Ovis aries: one gene and its partner. The protein of the gene in region 2 binds, or shares a complex with, the protein of the main gene of each other region. Links are inferred from orthologs where the notes say so. Each region holds a gene or a part of one and is shown on either strand. Other genes may lie near its edges.

Region 1 (3,683 bases), on a different chromosome or scaffold from region 2:
AAATATAAAGCAAGAAATGTGCATTAAAATGAGGTATAATATAATCATATTTATTTAAGAATGTATTCTAATATCAAAGGGCAAAATTCAACAACGCAAAATTACAATTATTTCTGGACCAAGCTAACATATATTCACATATTTTATCTTGCAGAATTTTTTTAAAGATAAAAATGGAGAAATAGTAGTAGTTTCTCAATCCAGTGGAAAGAAAAAATCCTAGTTTACAACTTTTTAAACAAGTTTTGTTTTAATACGTTAGAAAAGTTTGTTACTTTAAAGTTCAATTTAGCCCTATTGTTAAATGTATTTGTACCTCAACTTTTGCTTATGGGATACACTTTTTAAACTGCACTAAGGCTTCTTAATTCTAAGAACAAAAAGTAGCAGACATGGGTGGTTTGGTTCTGGGAGTACTACCATGCCTGCTAAGTTGCTTCAGTCGTGTCCGACTCCGTGACCCAATAGACTGTAGCCCACCAGGCCCCCGTCTATCGGATTCTCCAGGCAAGAATACTGGAATGGGTTGGCATGCCCTCCTCCAAGGAATCTTCCCAACCCAGGGATCGAACCCATGTCCCTTATGTCTCCTATATTGGCAGGTAGATTCTTTACCACTAGCGCCACCTGGGAAGTACCATGGATACAACATTTAAGGTTAACTGAGCTGGAAACAGACACACTGATGTTCATATGCTGACAAGCTTTGAAATTTTAAAATTTTAAATTATTTTCTTCTATTATCCAATACATTTGGCTTCCTACTGCAGTCCCTACTTTTACTTATTTTGGGGGACAGTTTTGTAAAAGAATGATGAAACATAAAAAGAGAAATTATAAAGAAACAAACACATACGTCTAAAATACAATATAAAGATTAAGACTTTAAGAAAATAGAGTTGTGAATTTTTTAAACTATTTTATATAAGACTGAATATAGAATGGGAATGAGGGGATCTCCATTCAAATTCTCAAAGGGATACTTCCAAAGAAATAAATATATACATATCTCTTAAGAGATTATCTCCAAGTTATCTGGATCCCAAAAAGGCACATTTACAGGGTGAAACGTTCATTAAATTGAGAGGCAAAAGTGAAAACGAAATTCTCTTTTCTGATACAGTAACCCACTTGGCAGCTCCTCTTCCTTACCACTTTGGCTCTGTCCATCATCCTGTCACCCACCTAACACATCATTCCCAGATGCTGCATTCCAGCTCATCCCCAGCTTTACTTATCACCTAGCTGCCTACACAATAAATGTACCAAAGCTGTGGGGAAATACATAATATCAACATACTGAAACCAAAGCAATGAATTTATTGGTAATAATAGTCTTTGACATGACATCAGAAGACACTGGTTTTATTTCTGAGCTGCCAATTGTTTGATTAGGACAAATTAACATTTCTAAGCTTCCATTTCCTCATTCATAAAAATAAAGATATCACCCACCTTCATAAAGTTTTGCTAAATACTAATTAAAAAATTAAAATTCAATTAAGATAATCCTATACGTTATAGAAACTAAGCATTATTACTATGGTAATCTGCCAAAATTTGAAAGAGCCTAACTAAAAGAAATAACCATAAGAGAGGTTGACTTATATGAAAAATTAAATTGTACTCTTTAAATAGGCTGTGACTTTGAAATCTCATTAGAAGTTTTCCTCCATGGGGAACTTACCACCTCTGCCACCTCTGCCACCTCTGCCTCTTCCTCCTCCTTGACCTCCCCTGCCACCGCCTCTCGGAGGTCCCTTTTCACCAGGAGGTCGAGGTAGAAACCTCTGCAACGGCAGCAGCTTATATGGGTCTATATAAAACTGGAAGTAAAATAGAAACAATTAGTGTGATGAGCTGGGGGATATACAATATAATAATTAAGAACCGGTATACAATATAATAATTAAGAACCGACACACTAGACTCAAAACTGCCTGGGTCAAATCCCAACCCTCTAACTTCACTAGTGATACACTGAGGAAGTTTCCAGTGCTTTTAAGTAAAACTGTCCTAAGGTAGGTCATTCATTTATAAAACCAAGGATCTAGGTGTTAGCTTGACTCACCTTCTGTAGTTTTTTAAAGGAAGATGCTTTCATGTTCTCTGATAATTTAACTGAAAAATACTATTAATTTTATTAAGGAATAAACAATTATAATGAAAGATAATCTTCTGAATTCACATGTCATTTTTAAAATAACAAGGTTAGAATATACAGAAATATTCACGAAAAGTAAGAAATGAGTTTCCAAACAGAAGTGAAGTTTTTGTTTTAAAACTTCCAGGTCCACCATACTATTGCAGTAGCATCATCATATCAAAAACAAAGTAACTCAAATGGCACTGATCCAAATGACAATCATTTCTAAAAGCTTAAAAAAAGGAAGGCACACTTAAAGAGGCCTATCTTTTCAATTTATGTGGAAATATATTCCCCTGTCTTGATTCTCCTTTATGGTCCAATCTTAGCAATACTGCATCCACTTCAGTGAAGCACCAAGTTCAGTTTAATCAATACTTATCTCCAGAAAAACACAAATCATGACCTTTCAACAGGATTGCTACATCTTCCAATTAAAAAGGATACAAAATCTCTAAGCTGTCCAAATATTTCGTCCACTTTTCCAATTTGTTCTTTGTTTTCTAAATAAACTGGAGCATTGAAATAAGGTACTTTATTTTCATCTGTGGTACATTTACACACTATGTCATCTTCACAAGGGTGCAGGAACTCTCCTAATACTAAAATAGGACATAAAATTGTTAAAATATAAAACAGTTTCAAATGATATTGACCAACCTCTTCTAGAAGCTTTCCTCTTGGCTGCCTGGGATTTCACCAGCAAAAAAGCCTTCCTGGCTTAGTACCAACTCCACAAAATACTAGCTATGTGACCTGGAGTAAGGGTCTCACCTTTTCTATTCTTCAGTGCCTTCATCTTTAATGTAGGGCTAACAACAAAACCCTTGGCTAACACCTAGTACTGTGAGGATTAAGCACAACAATAAGTGTCAAGTGCTTAGAAAGTGCCTGGCATATTGAGACCACTCAACCTGTAAGTTATTTTGTTATAGTTACTATTATTATTTGATTAAATGCTATGCTTCATTCTATTGTCTCTTCTTCCTTCTCCCCATCCATAACTCTAAGACAGTCTGTTGTTCTCCTGCCTTTTCCCCCCCCTTCCCCTTTTAAAATTTCCCACTACTACCTTTTCACTGACTCTTCGATCCTTACCAAGAAAGTCTGGAATTTCATATAACTACCTTTATATCTAACTTCTATCCACCCCAAACTAAAATACTCACCATATTCCTATAAAACCAACTCTCAATTCCCATCACCCAAGTTCAAAATCAAGAATCTTTTATTTCTAGTATTAGTCAAGTTCTAAGTTTGTTTCCACTGAGATTTCTCTCCCATCTAACCCTTCCTTTTTTCTTCACTTTCCCAATGCTCTCAATGTGTCATGCATGGACTGTTACGGGACAGGACCTTTGATTCTAGCCACTGACCTCTACACCATTTTGCATACCGATCCAACTTTCTCTTCATATATTAGACTCTATTTATCCTGTCTCTTCTTTAATGCAGGCTTCTACTGTCAAATTTCTGTCTCACTTTCTAAAACTTCCACCCTATATCTTTGATAATTACCCCAAAACTGCTCTAATTA
Region 2 (3,809 bases):
AGACTCAGCAGGCTGGACTTCGAGCTCAACGGGTGGAGGAGAAGGCGTTGACCGAGGGCCGGGCAGGGACTAGGTGCCCGCGGAGGTGGAGGGGCAGGCAGGCGTGGGGATGGTGGGGCCAGGGGTGAGGGTGGGGCCCCCAGCAGCTGACTGCGGGGAAGGCCCAGCAGGCTGGACTTCGAGCTCAGCGGGTGGGGGGAAAGGCATGGACCAAGGGCCGGGCGGGGCGCAGGCGCACTGTCAGCAGCGGGCAGGGCCCACTCAGCCCCCGAGACCCCCCGAGCCGCTGGACAGACGTGTCCTCACTCCAGTGCAGGGGAGAGGGGTGACAACCCCCCCCCAACTCCCTATTCCGATACCCAACCACCCTGCCAGGCTCTCCCGCACGTCTTGCCGGGCCTGGCGGTCAGCTACTGGAGATGCATGGTCTCTGGAGGGGCACAGGGCAGCGGGGCCCCCTCCCCAGGGCTCTCGGGGGGGCCCCGGCTTCGCCATGGAGCAGGCGCCTCCCATGGGCTCCAGAGCCCACCCCTGGCTGTGGGCAGGGCTGACGGTCAGTCCAAGATGGTCTTGAAGTCTGCGGTCACAGCGGGGTTGGCCGCCGCCTCCAGGGCGGCACGTGTGGGCCCTGGGAGCTGCCGGTGCAGCCGAGCTTGGGCTGTGGAGAGGGGGATGCACTCAGAGCCCCTTTCGGGGGGCGCCAGAGACCGCTGCTTACCAGGCACACCACTGAGGCCACGCGGGCACCCACGCTGGGCCGGCTGTGTGCCGGCGAGCTGGGGGGTGGGAGCCTCAGCAAGGGGAGACAACCCATCACGCCCGGAGCCACGGGGGCAGCTGGGCAGCGCCCGAGGGGACACAGGTAGGGGGCTGGTGGGCAGACGCCGCGGGGAGGAGGCCCCGAGAAGGGCCGTGAGAGGCGGCGTGACCCGGCTGGGTGTGCCCTGGGCGGGGCGGGGCTGTGACCCCGGCTCGTGGAAACTCCTGGGCCCACCCACCTGCCCGAAGGGGCCGCCTTGTGTCCGCCCACACCCACCTGTCCGGAGAGCCCCCAGCAGGCGGCTGTAGGTGGCGCGGTGGCGAGCCAGCTTGTGCAGGAAGGCGTGGAGACACAGCCAGTGTGCCGCTTCAGACGGGAACAGGCCGGAGGCGCCCCTGGCCCCCAGCGACGCCCCTGGGGACACGCATGACTGAGGCCCTGCCCGACGCCGCGCTAGGGAGACCGGGGCCTCCAGGCGGAGAGCCCTCAGTGCGCTTGTGGGACAATGTTGGGGGCGGAAAACCAGCGCTTTCGCCCCAGGCGCAACCCCGATAGGAGCCCAGGGAATTCTGACAACAGATGTTTCCTTCAACTTCTCCAAGAAACCTCCACGAACAAGGACAGTGACGGTAAGTCTGCACAAGCCTCACAGGCCGCACAGCCGGGACCTCGGACGGGTCCTCAGGGCCCTGGCCGAGGCCGTGGGGGCGGGCACGGGGATGCCCCAGGAAGGCCGAGCTGAGGGCTGGTGACCCCAAAGCACACGGGGGTCCCTCAGCAGGCTCCTCCCCAGTGTGGGCAAGGGCGGCCCAGGGCCTCCTGCTGCCCGCTGGCCTGGCTGACCCAATGCCCAGGGCACCGAGACAGGAGGGCTGCCCGTGAGCAGGCGGGGCACGCAGGGGAGGATCCCCAGCTGGTGCCTAGGTGCCTGGTCACTCCAGGCTGGCAGCGGACGACAGGCCAATGGAGGGCCTGAGCCGCCAGCAAGGTAGAGGCGCCCTGGCCCCGTCTCCTGCCCCATCTCCTGCCGGCGGGTGTAGGTGACTTGCAGCTCAAGTCCCCGCCCCCGCAAGCCCTCAGCCCCGGGCGCCCAAGCACCTGCGTTTCTGGCTTTCAGGAGGGTGTAGCCTCGGGACGCCGTGTCCATGATGACCTGGAGAAAGAACGCGGGGCTGCTCCCGACCGGCTGGCTGAAGGGCAGCTGCAGCACGCAGGCGTGGAACCTGGGGGCGGCGGCCCCGTCAGGACACGCCCCCCCCACGCTGCCCAAGAGGGGCTCCACGGAGACCATGCAGGCCGAGCCTGGCTCGGGGTCCCGGTTAGGGGTGGATGAGCCCCGGACTCCACAGTCAGCTGCCTGCGCCCCAGCTCAGCACCTGGCGGGTGGCATGGCCCCAGGGCGGGGAATGTTCCGGAAGCTAGTCTGTGCCAATTGGTGCGGCTTCCCGCTGCCCCTCCTGGGGGCACCTGAGGGCTGGGGGCCACCGCAGACACTGATCTCTGCTCCCTGCCCTGCCCTGCCCCGCCCTGCAGCCCTCCCCCTGTTGACGAGACCCCTGAGTACTCCCTGGGGACAGAGCAGCATTCCCAGGGTGGACAAGGACACCAAGGACTCAGGGGCTGCCTCATCGCACTGGGGAGCAGCGTGTCCCCCAGGTCCCGGGCGAGCGCAGCACTGCGGCTGAGGCCCCATCCTCCACCAGACGCACCTGTAGGCCTGCAGCAGGAATATCTTGTACACGTTTGTGAAAACCGTCTGGAGACTGTTCACCTTCAGAAAGAAAAGAGAAGAAAACGCTGGCGGCACCTCTCGCTTTGCGTTCCTGAGTTTGCTTTATGGCCCCATCAAGCGGAGCAGGAAAAAGGGTCGCCCCGGGAAGAACCCAGTGGCCTCTCTGGGGAAACCCACCAGGTCCCCAGGGGCCCTCAGAGGCGGCCAGGCCCGCGGGAAGGGAGAGGGCGGGAGCCTGGCAGGACGACGGTTCAGGCCCCAGGGGGACAAGCAAGGGCCACAAAGGCCCGGCCCAAGGGGACGAGCAGGGACAAGGCGAGGACGGTGGGGTGAGCGCTGTGGGCACAGGCATGCACACAGCTGCACAAGCATCCACACCCACACGCTCGGTCACGCATACACGTGTGTGATGACCAACGTCCTTTCACACACAGGCACACATGCGCACCCACACGCTCAGTCACACGTACACGTGTGTGATGACCAACGTCCTTCCACACACAAGTGTGCACCTGCCCACCCACTCCCCCAGGAAATACAACACATGGGGGGCCAGCTGCCCCCACGCCCCGCGGCCCTGCCCCCCAACCTGCAGGTCCAGGAAGAGCCCGTGGCACTTGAGCTGCAGGACCGCCAACAGCTTGCGACGCATGTTCCTCCCGGGCTTGAAGCCCTGGGTGAAGGTGAGACTCGCTCTGATGGACGTCCGGGCGTAACTGTGAGACAGGGTGGGGTCCAGGGAAGCAAGTGTGTCCACCCAGCACTGACCCACACCTAGATGTCCCGCCCCTCGGCTACACTGATCGGCCAGGAAGGCTACCTGTCCCCCACACAGTCACAGCTTCACGGGCACCCAGACAGGACAGTGGGCGGGTCATGACTCGCCGGCGCAGTCGGTGCGTGGACACGCAGGGAGTGTCGGGAGCAGCAGGTGGACACACGGAACCACGGACGGCAAGCGTCCGCCCCGCGTCTTCCCAGGGAGCGCCTGGGGGCAGCCCCCAGCCCCCCAGCAGGACTGGGCTAGCAGCGCAGGACAGGGTAGCCCCATCCAGCAGCGCCCCGAGACGGCTCGCTCCTCACAGAGCAGAGGACACGCTTGCAGCCACACTGCTCCTCAGCCCTCCACGTCTGTGCAAAGCCTGGGGCTCGCTGCACCATCCCAGGGTGAGGCGGGGGCAGAGGGCCGCCAGGGGCTCAACTGCATCCCCAAATTCACAGGGTGAGCCCGCCCCCGCGGCCGTTCGGGGACAAGGCCTTTGAGAAGATGACTAAGGTCAAACGAGCGCATAAGGGGGGCCCTAACCCACAGGGACG

Evidence for each region.
Region 1: TERT (region 2) and GAR1 share a complex: the UniProt entries of both Homo sapiens proteins name them as parts of the telomerase holoenzyme complex. The link is inferred for Ovis aries from reciprocal best matches to the Homo sapiens genes TERT and GAR1.

What each region holds. Positions count from the first base shown.
Region 1 is NC_056059.1:15,946,427-15,950,109, forward strand, and holds part of GAR1 (H/ACA ribonucleoprotein complex subunit 1), read right to left. Parts: intron 2,749-3,683; coding exon 2,594-2,748; intron 2,132-2,593; coding exon 2,072-2,131; intron 1,827-2,071; coding exon 1,688-1,826; intron 1-1,687. UniProt on the Homo sapiens protein: Required for ribosome biogenesis and telomere maintenance. Part of the H/ACA small nucleolar ribonucleoprotein (H/ACA snoRNP) complex, which catalyzes pseudouridylation of rRNA.
Region 2 is NC_056069.1:71,204,077-71,207,885, reverse strand, and holds part of TERT (telomerase reverse transcriptase), read right to left. Parts: intron 3,209-3,809; coding exon 3,082-3,208; intron 2,573-3,081; exon of another isoform or gene 2,532-2,572; coding exon 2,470-2,531; exon of another isoform or gene 1,984-2,469; coding exon 1,859-1,983; intron 1,390-1,858; exon of another isoform or gene 1,175-1,389; coding exon 1,037-1,174; exon of another isoform or gene 659-1,036; coding exon 555-658; 3' UTR 1-554. UniProt on the Homo sapiens protein: Telomerase is a ribonucleoprotein enzyme essential for the replication of chromosome termini in most eukaryotes. Active in progenitor and cancer cells. Inactive, or very low activity, in normal somatic cells.